Linked DNA regions of Ovis aries. The protein of the gene in region 1 interacts with the protein of each later gene in a biochemical or structural test. Links are inferred from orthologs where the notes say so. Each region holds a gene or a part of one and is shown in the gene's direction. Other genes may lie near its edges.

Evidence for each region. The genes of interacting proteins can lie anywhere in the genome.
Region 2: the proteins of NXF1 (region 1) and NUP153 form a complex in vitro, tested with the Homo sapiens proteins (2 studies listed by BioGRID and IntAct). The link is inferred for Ovis aries from reciprocal best matches to the Homo sapiens genes NXF1 and NUP153.
Region 3: the proteins of NXF1 (region 1) and RBM15 form a complex in vitro, tested with the Homo sapiens proteins (2 studies listed by BioGRID). The link is inferred for Ovis aries from reciprocal best matches to the Homo sapiens genes NXF1 and RBM15.

What each region holds. Positions count from the first base shown.
Region 1 is NC_056074.1:37,645,381-37,649,725, reverse strand, and holds the start of NXF1 (nuclear RNA export factor 1), read left to right. Parts: upstream 1-1,414; 5' UTR 1,415-1,527; coding exon 1,528-1,555; intron 1,556-4,345.
Region 2 is NC_056073.1:39,060,037-39,063,728, forward strand, and holds part of NUP153 (nuclear pore complex protein Nup153), read left to right. Parts: intron 1-347; coding exon 348-968; intron 969-3,692. UniProt on the Homo sapiens protein: Component of the nuclear pore complex (NPC), a complex required for the trafficking across the nuclear envelope. Functions as a scaffolding element in the nuclear phase of the NPC essential for normal nucleocytoplasmic transport of proteins and mRNAs.
Region 3 is NC_056054.1:87,643,896-87,647,587, forward strand, and holds part of RBM15 (RNA-binding protein 15), read left to right. Parts: coding exon 1-849; intron 850-3,692. UniProt on the Homo sapiens protein: RNA-binding protein that acts as a key regulator of N6-methyladenosine (m6A) methylation of RNAs, thereby regulating different processes, such as hematopoietic cell homeostasis, alternative splicing of mRNAs and X chromosome inactivation mediated by Xist RNA.

The sequences.
Region 1 (4,345 bases):
GGGTGGGAGCGCCGAAGAAGGGCCTAGGCAGAAATGGAGGGAGCCTGCTGCCCAGTATTACAACTGAAAGGGCTGGACTGATGACCCTGAGGGGCCAGGCTTTGGGCTCTGTATACACAGCTGCTTCCAGCAGGCCTAACCCAGTGCAGCAGTACTTAATTATCATGGAAAATTCCCTTCAAAGCAGGGTATACGATCCCAGAGTGGGTCTCTGATTAGTGGTAACTTCTAGGACCATCTCCAGAAGTATTTGGACCTGTTTCATCTGCATCTTCCAGTCCTACCGTTTTCCTTGGGCTGGATGAAGCAGGAGTTCTGCCTGCTGCCAGGAGTGAAAGGTGAAGAATTTGTTCCCAGCTCCAGCTGAGGCTCTTGGTCCCCTCTTGAAGCCCCTCACCAAATCCAAACCAGTCACAGGAGAATGAAGTAGAGATCTGCCTGGAATACCTACCCTACCCTGGAAGGTCAATATGCTTGTCAGTCCTGACCAGGACCCACAACCACATCATTCTGAGATCACTGGAGTACCCCAATTTCACACACCCCAAAGGAAGCTCAAGCTATAGTGACAACAGTCACACACTGGGCTGGCTGTAGTACCTTGGGGTTGGGGGCGGTAGTTATCTAGGAGAGCCCTGGCCTTTCTTAGCCCTGGCCTTTTAGTATTTGCTCTCCGTTTGACCTGTGTCCAGGGGGTGCTCTTGCTTGCATCTTAACTTTAGTTGACACACGATGTGGGTTTAAGCACAGCACATTGATGGTGGGTGGGGTGATCTGTGAAGATGATCAAAGCCTGACAAATGCAGTTTTTCTCATTTGACTCCACAACTATTGGGGGGGGGGGTGTTGCATAGATTGGAAATTTATTTCATAATATTTGCTGAGTTCCTGGTACATGCCAGGTATGGTACTGAGCCAGGTGCTGGGGAGAAAAAAAAAAAAGCCATGAATTAGTCAACTCCTTGCTCTCTTGGAGCTTACCTTCTAGTTTTCTATTTCATTTTATAGGCAAGGAAAGCAAGGCATAGATCTGTAGAAGGCAAAGGGCTGAGCTGAGACTTAAGCCCAGGCTGGATCCTCCTAGGGGTCTTGAAGCGGTCACTCCAAGGCACTGGTCTCCCATTCCTCAGAAGCCCTTCTTGTGGCCCTCCTTCCCTTTTTCTTTTTGAACCCTGGGGTGCAGTGGCCATCTCTGCTTCAGTGCCAACCTTGGAGGTGCTGCTTACCGGCCGACGATGAAAGCAGAGGGCAGGTGCGAGTACTAATCAGGGGGATCAGTAAACTAATCACTACTGGGCGGAGCGTCGGCCTCAAGCTCCGCCCCGGTGTCTCTGCTGGTCGAATGCGCACGCGCATCTCCCAGCGGCTCCGCCTATGATCGTGGGACGTCGACAGCGCGCGACACGGTCTCCTTATAAACGCGGTGGTAGCCGGCGTAGGAGCACTTCGACCTAGAGCGCCTGGGCATTCGGACGTTTGGCTAAGTGGCGGCCCGCGACGCAGCCCGCCCCTGCTTCTAGCTGTGCCATGGCGGACGAGGGGAAGTCATACAACGGTCAGTGCTGGTCCTTGGGCCGGGGAGAGGGGCGATCTGGAGCCCCGCTGGGCAGCGCCGGCCTAGGCCGCAGCGCCGGGGCGGGAGGCCGCGAGGGGCCGGGTGTCCGCGGGGAACGGCAGTGAGTGGCGCGGGCCCGGGGCGAGGCAGCCCGGGCCCTGGCTGAACTCGAGGGTGAGTGCCCGGCTCGTTGACCCCAGAATCCTGGCGCTGTGAGCACCTGCGGCTCGGAGCGGGTGGCTCGGCGGTGAGGTGACTGGATTCCTTTGAACTTTGTGGGTGGTGGATGCCTGTCAGTTCAGTTTGGCGGCTATAGTAATGTGAGTCAGTACCCTGTTCTTGGGCTGCCGGTGCCCTATTTTCTACCGTGCGTCCAGTCGGTCTTGCCCCCTCCCCCGCCGTCCGCAGCTTTAGCTTTAATATTCTAGACCTACACTTTAACTCACTGTTTTAGCCAGAACACTACAATGGGTTTAGATCCAGAGTAGTGGTTGTTGGCCATGCCGATCATATGTGAGTTAAACACTCAGGCCTGATTTTCCATCCCCTGAAGGAGGATAGAAACAGTACCTGTCTCCTGAGTTTGTCTCCATGTGTGTGTGTTTGTATTAAAACGAGATCGTGTGCGTCGAGCGCCTGACATCGGATAAACTTATTGATAAATGTTAACTGCACCTTCTAGTCGTCTATTTTTTCCCTAGGGTCGTTTCATGAGATTCAATGTTTGCAGAGTACTGGGCTTCCCTGGTGGCTCAGAGGGTAAAGTGTCTGCCTGCAATGCAGGAAACCCGGGTTCGATTCCTGGGTCGGGAAGATCCCCTGGAGAAGGAAATAGCAACCCACTCCAGTATTCTTGCCTGGAAAATCCCATGGATGGAGAAGCCTGGTAGGCTATAGTCCATGGGGTCGCAAAGAGTCGGACATGACTGAGCGACTTCACTTCACTTCACTTCATAGGGCTCTTTTTCAGAAGCCATTTCTACACACCACAGTTGAGAGGAACTCCAGAGTTTGAGAATAAAATTTATAAAAGAAACCATTAGATTGATCATACTTGTAGTTGATGTTTGTACTCAGTAGGCAAAAGGAGTATTGATTAAGTTAATGTAATCATTATGATTGGTTTACCTGGATATGAAAGAGGTCACTTGGGGTTAAGTTGATGTGGGTGGGCAGACAGCAGATTTCAGGTGACTTTTCGGAGAATGAGTTGTGTCCAGTTACCCTTGGGTCACTTCAACATTCACTTCAGAGTGGCAGTTTTTTAATATGGTTGATTTACAACATAATATTAGTTTTCAGGTATGACATGAAAGGGAACATAGTGATTCAGTATTATGATAGATTATACCCCATTAAAAGTTATTACAAAATAATGGCTGTCACCCCCCGTGCAATAATATATTATTGTTGCCTATCCATTTTATACTTAGTAGTTGCTGCTGCTGCTGCTGCTGCTAAGTCGCTTCAGTCGTGTCCAACTCTGTGCGACCCCATAGACGGCAGCCCACCAGGCTCCCCCGTCCCTGGGATTCTCCAGGCAAGAACACTGGAGTGGGTTGCCATTTCCTTCTCCAATGCATGAAAGGGAAAGTGAAATCTCTCAGTCGTGTCCAACCTTCAGCGACCCCATGGACTGCAGCCTTCCAGGCTCCTCCGTCCATGGGATTTTCCAGGCAAGAGTACTGGAGTGGGGTGGCATTAGTAGTTGGTATCTCTTAATCCCATAACCTTATCTTGCCCCTCCTGCTTTCCCTCTCCCACTGATAACCAGGAGTTTGTTATCTATATCTGTGAGTCTGTTTCTGTTTTGCTAAATATATTCGTTTTAGTTTTTACATATGTGATATCAGACAGTATTTGTCTTTTTCCGACTTACTTTACTAAGTATAATAACCTCCATGTCCATTCATGTTGTTGTAGTGGCAAGATTTCATTCTTTTTTTATGGCTGAGTAGTATTCCGTTGTGTGTGTGTGTATACCACATCTTTATCCATTAGTCCCTTGATGTTCATTTGGATTGCTTCCATATCTTTCCCTCTGTAAACAGTGTTGCTGTGAACAATGAGATGCAGGTATCTTTTTTTTTTTAATTGACCTGAAAACAAGTGAAGCTCATATGTATTCTTCCCTTTTTCTTAGTTTTGATGCTTTAAAGAAAAATCTTTATATTGGAGTATAGTTGATTTACAGCAGAGTGATTCAGTTATACATGTATCTGTTGTTTTTCAGATTATTTTCTCAGGGAGGTTATTACAGTACTGGGTAGAGTTCCCTGTGCTATATACAGTGGGTCCTTGTTGATTATCTGTTTCAGATAATAGTAGTGTGCAGATGTTAATCCCCACTTCCTCATTTAGGCATGCATCTTTTTAAATTAGTACTTTTTTTCTTTTTTCTGGATATATAATTGGAGTGAATTTGCAGGATCATATGGTAGTTCGAATTTCAGTGTTTTGAGGTGAGAACAAGACTTAAAAGAAGCCTTTCAATTGGTCGTAGTTGTAACTGACATTTGTGCTTTATAGGCAAAAGAAGTATTGTTTACTGAAAGCTGATGTAATCATTGTGATTGACTTTTCAAGATGTGATCAAATTTTGAGTAGGGGTAGTCTTAGAGAGTGAACTTATGGTTACCAGGGAGAGGTGGGTAGGGAAGGGACAGATTGGGAGTTTGGGATGGACGAGTACACACTGCTATATTCACAATGAATAACCAACAAGGACCTACTGTATAGCACAAGGAGTGCTGCTCATATTCCATTAACAGTCTATTTGGGAAAAGAATT
Region 2 (3,692 bases), on another chromosome or scaffold:
TAACTGGGTTGTCGGTTATTAACTATGTAATTAGTACTAGAAATACAGCTTAGGTGAAAACTCGCAAGTAGTTCTTGGATTGTAATAATTCTGTAATTAAGGTAAAAAATGTTTTCTCCCAGGAATAATATTACTAACAGCTATAAGCATATCACATTATTGGGTTGGCTGAAAAGTTTGTTTTGGGTTTTTCTGTAAGATCTTACGGAAAAAACCCAAATGAACTTTTTGTCCAGCCCAATATTAATTAATGTTATTAATATTTATTAACAGTAAACAGGGAGACATTCTAATCAAAACATTAACTAATTTTTCCCCTCCCACCCACCTCTTCCCCCCGGTTGTAGGTTTTGCATCACCGAAGGCAGATTCTCTTGCTGCTCAACCTGCCACCACAAGCCCGGTAGTTCACACAAGACCAGCAATAAGCAGCTTTTCTTCTAGTGGAACTGGGTTTGGGGAAGGTTTAAAAGCTGGGTCGTCATGGCAGTGTGATACTTGTCTACTCCAGAACAAAGTCACAGACAACAAATGCGTAGCCTGCCAAACAACAAAATTGCTACCAAAAGATTCTGCTAAACAGACTGCAACCGGGACACCAAGTAAAAGCGGCAAACTGACTGTTTCCACACCAGGGACGACAGGCTTCGGAGACAAATTTAAACCAGCAGTAGGAACTTGGGATTGTGATACCTGTTTAGTGCAGAATAAACCTGAAGCGATAAAATGTGTAGCTTGTGAAACACCGAAACCGGGAACTGGTGTTAAGCGAGTCCTTACGTTGCCAGCGGCTTCAGAAAGCGCTGTAACTGTGGCTGCTTCCTCCTCCAGCTGCACTGTGACCACTGGTGCCTTAGGATTTGCAGATAAATTCAAAAGGCCCGTGGGATCTTGGGAGTGTCCAGTGTGCTGTGTTTCTAATAATGCAGAAGACAATAAGTGTGTGTCCTGTATGTCTGAGAAACCAGGTACGTTTATGGCTGTTTGGAATAATTTTGTTCATTACTTTAATAGAACATTTTAATTCTATTCTCTGTAAACCAGCGAAGAACAAACCTCAGTATTTTAGATGTTTCAGGACAAGCATTTCCTCCTGTGTCAATAATTTTCCAAACTGTCTTGAGATGAAAATGACTTGCCTGGAACTGACACTGCACGTTCTCTTAACCTAGGTTGTGTGTTAATCAGTCCAGCATTTGCTTTGACCTCTTCTTTGTGTGCACTTTTATTAGAAACTTCTGGCTCTTCGTGATCTATTCAAAGTTGGCTGATACAGATGCAAAGGTCTTAGAACGGAGCACTCTTTCTCAGACCTTTACACAGAATAAAATACTACTCTGTCTCTTTTTCTCAAAGAGGAAGTGAGGATGGCTAGCGGTCATTTCCACAGCTAGTTTCATTAAGGAGTAGACAGTATTGTGTTATCAGAAGAGTGTGGCTGAGCACTAATGATGATACCTATACCTGTATGTGCTATCTGCCAGAGACCCTGCAATGATCATAAATTATTAAATCGTTAATGAAAAAGTACTATTGGGCAGACAGAAAAATGGAGCTAGAGTTGAATTTTTCCTGTTTCTCTGTTCAATTTTGAAAGAGTTACTGAAGATTTACACTGATCTTTAATTCATTTGGAATTAATTCATTTGACTCTTTGATGTTTTTGTAATGCTATTATATAATTCTTTGGTACAGATACATGGTAACATAGATACTAAATAAAACATGTTATAAGTGTCCTGGGAATTATACTTCCTATTCTTATTGCATTATTGATGGATGCGTGGTTTTGTGTCTACAGTGAAAAGCTCTTCATAGCCTAGAACCCTATCCTAACACAAGGGGTGTGCTGTATTTCTTGATTCCTGCTAGACATCTCTACAGGAGTAAGATTTCAGAGTCTTTATTCTGAAATATCTTTCTCTTCCCATCTGTCATCCTCATTGTCCCTTTAACAAAAAAAGCTGTTGATGGATGTCTGAGAGCAAAATTAATTGAGTTGATGGGTCAAACTTGTACTTTTGTTCAATCATCTGGTGGCTTTTTGGAGGATGGATTTGAAGGCAACAAAATTTGGAGACCAGAGCACAGATTAGGAAGTTGATCAATAATATGGATAGAGATAGTGGTGATATGTACTAATGAAATCAAATGGAGGGGGATAGAATAATGTATTGAGTTGAAGATACATTAAGTTCAAGCTGCTGAAGTTGACAGATATGTGTGAGAAGACTTTTTAAGATATAAAACTGATTATAGACACTCTGGACTGGAGACACAGATTTGGGAATCATTCACTCATAATTTTCAAATAAATGATGAGAGAAGAGGTGATGTAAGGTGAGTGAGTGGAGCAAACAGAGAGGATAGCCTAAAACTGAATTCTGCTTAGCTTAAGAGAGTAGCAAGAATAGAACTTTGAAACAGTTAATTGAGAGGAAAGACAAGAACCAAACAAGAACCATGTAATACTGGTTGCTTCTTACGAGGATGGGTTTCAAGGGAACCAAACCAGAAGTCTCAATAAGGCTGTCCACTAGAAGAGCAGCAGAAGGGTCCGAGGAAGGAATGAAACAGATTGCAGAGATACATCAGGAGGAGTTGTCTTCTCCCCAGGCCAGCCAGGTGCGTAGTGGAACGCCCATCAAAGAGGTAGTACAGCACTGACGCCCGGAAGTATGGGTCTTGGGTGCTAATGGGAAAGATTTTGTTGGTGATTAAAATCATCAGGGTAGATGAGACCTTGTGAGAGGGCAGTGGACCAAAGACGGTAGGATTTTATTGGCAAAGTGGAAGAGAACATAACGATAAAAACCACAGAGCAGGTAACTGGGAGAAGTGACAACAGCCGGAGGACGTTGAGAGAAGTGGGGCTTCCAGAGCGAATGGCTTTACTTGCAACCCTGCATTTCTTCACGCAGCTGCGCCTTACTGAGCCGTCCCTCCTATGCTGCTGCCTCTCCTCACGAAATTGCTACGTCTGCTTAAAAGTGTAAATAGGACCTCTGTGAATCCTCCTGTCTCGTAGTAGTGTCTTCTCTGTGCGCTTATTTAGATCGTTTGTCATTCCATCTTGGCGATGGTGGTACTATGCATTTATGTTTGTTTTACTTTCCCCTTTTTAGACCAGAAGCACCTTTAGAATCGACACTTTACTCATCTTAATATTCCCAGAACCTAAGAACATTACAGTGCTTAATCAATGTCTGTTAAATGGCTGCGTTTTAACCGAAATGCCTTGAACATAGTAGGTCACGTCTACTTGAGTTGCAACACTTCTGTGCAGAAATGGTCATTTCAGAGTCAGAGATCTGTGCTTTGGAATCTTGAAATTAATATGGCCATGACTGTGTATTTTATGTGTTAGGCTCTTCCCTACGATTTATAACTTATATTTTATAATCTGTGATGCTTAACAAAATTTGACAAACATTATTAAGGAAAATTTAGTCTTTTATGCCCTGATCTGTGAGCATCAGTTTAAAAAACAAAACAAAACATGGCTATTCAACCTTGGGGTTAAGAGGACACTCAACAGTGAGCAAGGTGAGTGTGAGTTGCTCATTTATAAGACTAAAAGAAATCTGAGATGTCTGGACCGTTTTTAACAACGTGATGTTTATATTTCTGGCATTTTCTCTGTCTTAATAGGAAACACTGATAAAAATTGTTCATTTGGACTTATGTGGTGT
Region 3 (3,692 bases), on another chromosome or scaffold:
ACCGCAGTCCAGAATTGGGCAGTACCCGGGATCGCTACAATAGCGACAACGATCGATCTTCCCGTCTTCTCTTGGAAAGGCCCTCTCCAATCAGAGACCGACGAGGTAGTTTGGAGAAGAGCCAGGGTGACAAGCGAGACCGTAAAAACTCCGCATCAGCTGAACGGGATAAGAAGCACCGGACAACTGCTTCCACGGAGGGTAAAAGCCCTCTGAAAAAAGAAGATCGGCCTGATGGGAGTGCATCCAGCACCAGCACTGCTTCATCGAAGCTGAAGTCCCCTTCCCAGAAACAGGATGGGGGGACCGCCCCTGCAGCAGCAGCATCTCCCAAACTCTGTTTGGCCTGGCAGGGCATGCTCCTGTTGAAGAACAGCAACTTTCCTTCCAACATGCATCTGTTGCAGGGTGACCTCCAGGTGGCTAGTAGTCTTCTTGTGGAGGGCTCAACTGGAGGCAAAGTGGCCCAGCTCAAGATCACTCAGCGTCTTCGTTTGGACCAGCCCAAGTTGGATGAAGTAACGCGACGCATCAAAGTGGCAGGGCCCAATGGTTATGCTATTCTTCTGGCTGTGCCTGGAAGTTCTGATAGCAGGTCTTCTTCTTCCTCAGCCACATCAGACACTGCCACCTCTACTCAGAGGCCACTTAGGAACCTCGTGTCCTACTTAAAGCAAAAGCAGGCCGCTGGGGTGATCAGCCTCCCTGTGGGGGGCAACAAAGACAAGGAAAACACCGGAGTCCTTCATGCCTTTCCACCCTGTGAGTTCTCCCAGCAGTTCCTGGATTCCCCTGCCAAGGCACTGGCCAAATCTGAAGAAGATTACCTGGTCATGATCATTGTCCGTGGTGCGTCTTAAAGTCCATGTGTAACTTGTATTTAGTACTTTGACATGGTTCCTGTTTTGTGATGTGTAATGGGATACAGCATCGGATGAAATTTTCTTTTTAATTAGTTGTTTAGTTTTAGGTTTTTTCTTTTTTATATTTTTATAAACCTCTTTAAAAAACAGAAGTCAGGAGAGTTTAGCTATTATTTTAAGTGAAAGGACTCCCCTAAAGGTAGCAGGCAAGTGGTTTACTTTAATTAGGAGTTTCCACTCTTATGTGTAACTGTTTTCCTCTTTTTCTGCGAATTTTTTTTCTTTTTTAATCTTGAACTTAAAAAAATCCTCAAAGTTACAAAACCAGAAATTTGAAAAGTTAGAATTTGAAAAACAAAGAGCCCACTAGCTGTAAAAAGATAATACACACCTAAAAATGACTTTGATTGGTAGGTCGGTAAATAATTCCTGTACCAGAAATATTATTTGTGCGGCTGAAATTTGAGCAGGGATCTCAAGGAGTATATATAAGCTGGTAAAGGATACATAAAATGTTGCAATTACTTTAATCAAGTATTTGAGTATTTTTCTTAAATGGTGTGTTCCCAAGAGCTTGCTTTAACATATATGTTTTTACCATTAGTTTTTGAGTTCTGTATCCCATATATGCACTTTTGGTTTGTAGCTGTTCAGTAAAAATAGAGGAGTGTGTTACAAACCACGTTGTCTTTTGCTTACACTAGTATGCAGGAAGTGAGTAGGTGCTTTTAAAATCACAATTCTTTGGTCAGTTATTGGTGTGTGGTGGTGTTTTCACTGACTTTCAGAGGGGTATAGCAGGTACAGTTCTAATTGTTGCAAATTTCAAAACTTGTGTTTTTCATCAGAGGTGAGTTTTTATTTTTGTATTCACCCAAATTTCTGACTTCAGTAATAGAAAGAAGAGTTGTCTGCAGGCTCATAAGTCATCCTTTTATTTCAGTGGGCATTAATCACCCATATCTGGATTGCAGAATTTTTTTTAAGTCATTGTGAAATACTTTTGACATACTCTAAAAATTTTGCTTGGATTTTTATTTTCATATTTAAACAGCGATGACTTCACATTATTGAAAGTATTTTGAGTATCTTTGAAATTTTGTGTTTATATTTTCGCTGGTGTCCAGCCACAGAGAATTGAAATAATCAGTTTAGGAAAACCGTTTTTTAGTGGTTTATTTTCTCAGAGACCTGAAATTAGTATAAAATAATTTAGCCCACTTCCACATTTTTTTCCAAAACTGAAGATTATCAATTTCTGATTCTTAACAAGAGCTTTTGCTGCTTAACATTAATTCATGGTTTCCTTGTCTTTTTAATTTTCCTCCTCCACCCCCAACCCCTAGTTTCTCACGTCATTTGTAAGTGTATTTTCCCCTGTGGTTTAAATGTTGAGGACTTTAGCCAAAGCCCTTGATATTTAATTATGATTAGAAACTTGAGGACCTTTGGATCATGGTCATGTTTCTATGCTATGTAAGTGACTTACTGAAAGCCTGGCAGAACTCAACTGTTTTCTTTCTGTTATCAAAGCGGATAGTTTTAAAATAGCACCAATAATAACCCAAGAAAACGTCATGTAATTTTTAATTGTCCGTTATGACAGGTGTCTAATGCATGTTAGCATGAAAGCCTCATCACTGCTGTGTCATCCTTTTTAGTTTTCACTATGCATTTATAAGTTTTCTTTGTAAGTTTGGAGACTTTTGTGTTTTTTGTTTTTAAACTGGAAAAACTAGCCATTTTGAGAGAAGGAAGATAATAGGCTATGAGCACAGAGGTCCTTGGTGTGCCTGTAGGGAAAATACCTGAAGTCCTACAATGAACACTTTTGGTCCTTTTGCTTTTAAAAAACTGCTTGACACGCTAATATGGAATAGACACCTGTTCAGAAACTTATGTCAGTGTGCAGTCTATGCATAAATAAATGGGGTCAAAGTACAATTTGTGGCTAGATACATTTTTTCCAGTTTAAATAGTCTCACTAACCATTAACTTTTGAATACCTTTTGATAAGATGGCTGGACAAATGATTTTACTTTTTTAGAGAGTGAAGTCCTTGATACCTAATTTTAACTCTAATCCAAAGTGTATGTGGCTTTCTTTTTTTTTTTTTTTTAAAGTTGATATGCCAGCTTATCGAAGAGTAGAGTACTGTGGGTTTTGCTCCATGTTTGTTTGATTCTTTATCTGACATCGTGGCTTTTGTTAGATCTGGGCAATTTGTGCTTCAGTGTTTTTGAAACAATGGCTTGATACCATTTCTAAATGTATGTATTATAACAAAATTATGTTTAGTTTGGTGCTTAGCTACAGAGTGCCATCATTTGGATGAATCTTATTTGTGTTGCTCATTCTATTGTTCAGGTTTATAACATTGGTAAACTATCTACCTAAACTTAAGAGTGGAATGAAAGCATTTGTCTAAAACAATCTGGTTCTAATTCTCGCTAGCCAGAATTTGTAATCTCAACATTGGATGTTCTTTGTGACAGCCAGTTGTTTCTTTTGCCTTTTTTTTTTTTTTTTAAATGTATTTGTTTAATTGATTTTTCTGGAACTCAAGTTCAAATGAATGGAATTTCTTAAGTATATCATTAAATGACTCATTAAGTATTACTGGTAAAAAAAGAACCATCAAGCTAATTTAGATTTTTAATCACAATTTCAAAGTTTATGAAAAATTAATCATTCAGCTCCTAGCCAATTTATTTTTAGTGTTATTTTGTTGGTTGTTACTGGAATTCCTATAAAGAGTTTTCCACGAAAAAATTTAAATTCCTGGTTTGAGATGTCTGTTTTGACTGACCCGAGAGTAAGCAGAGTTTT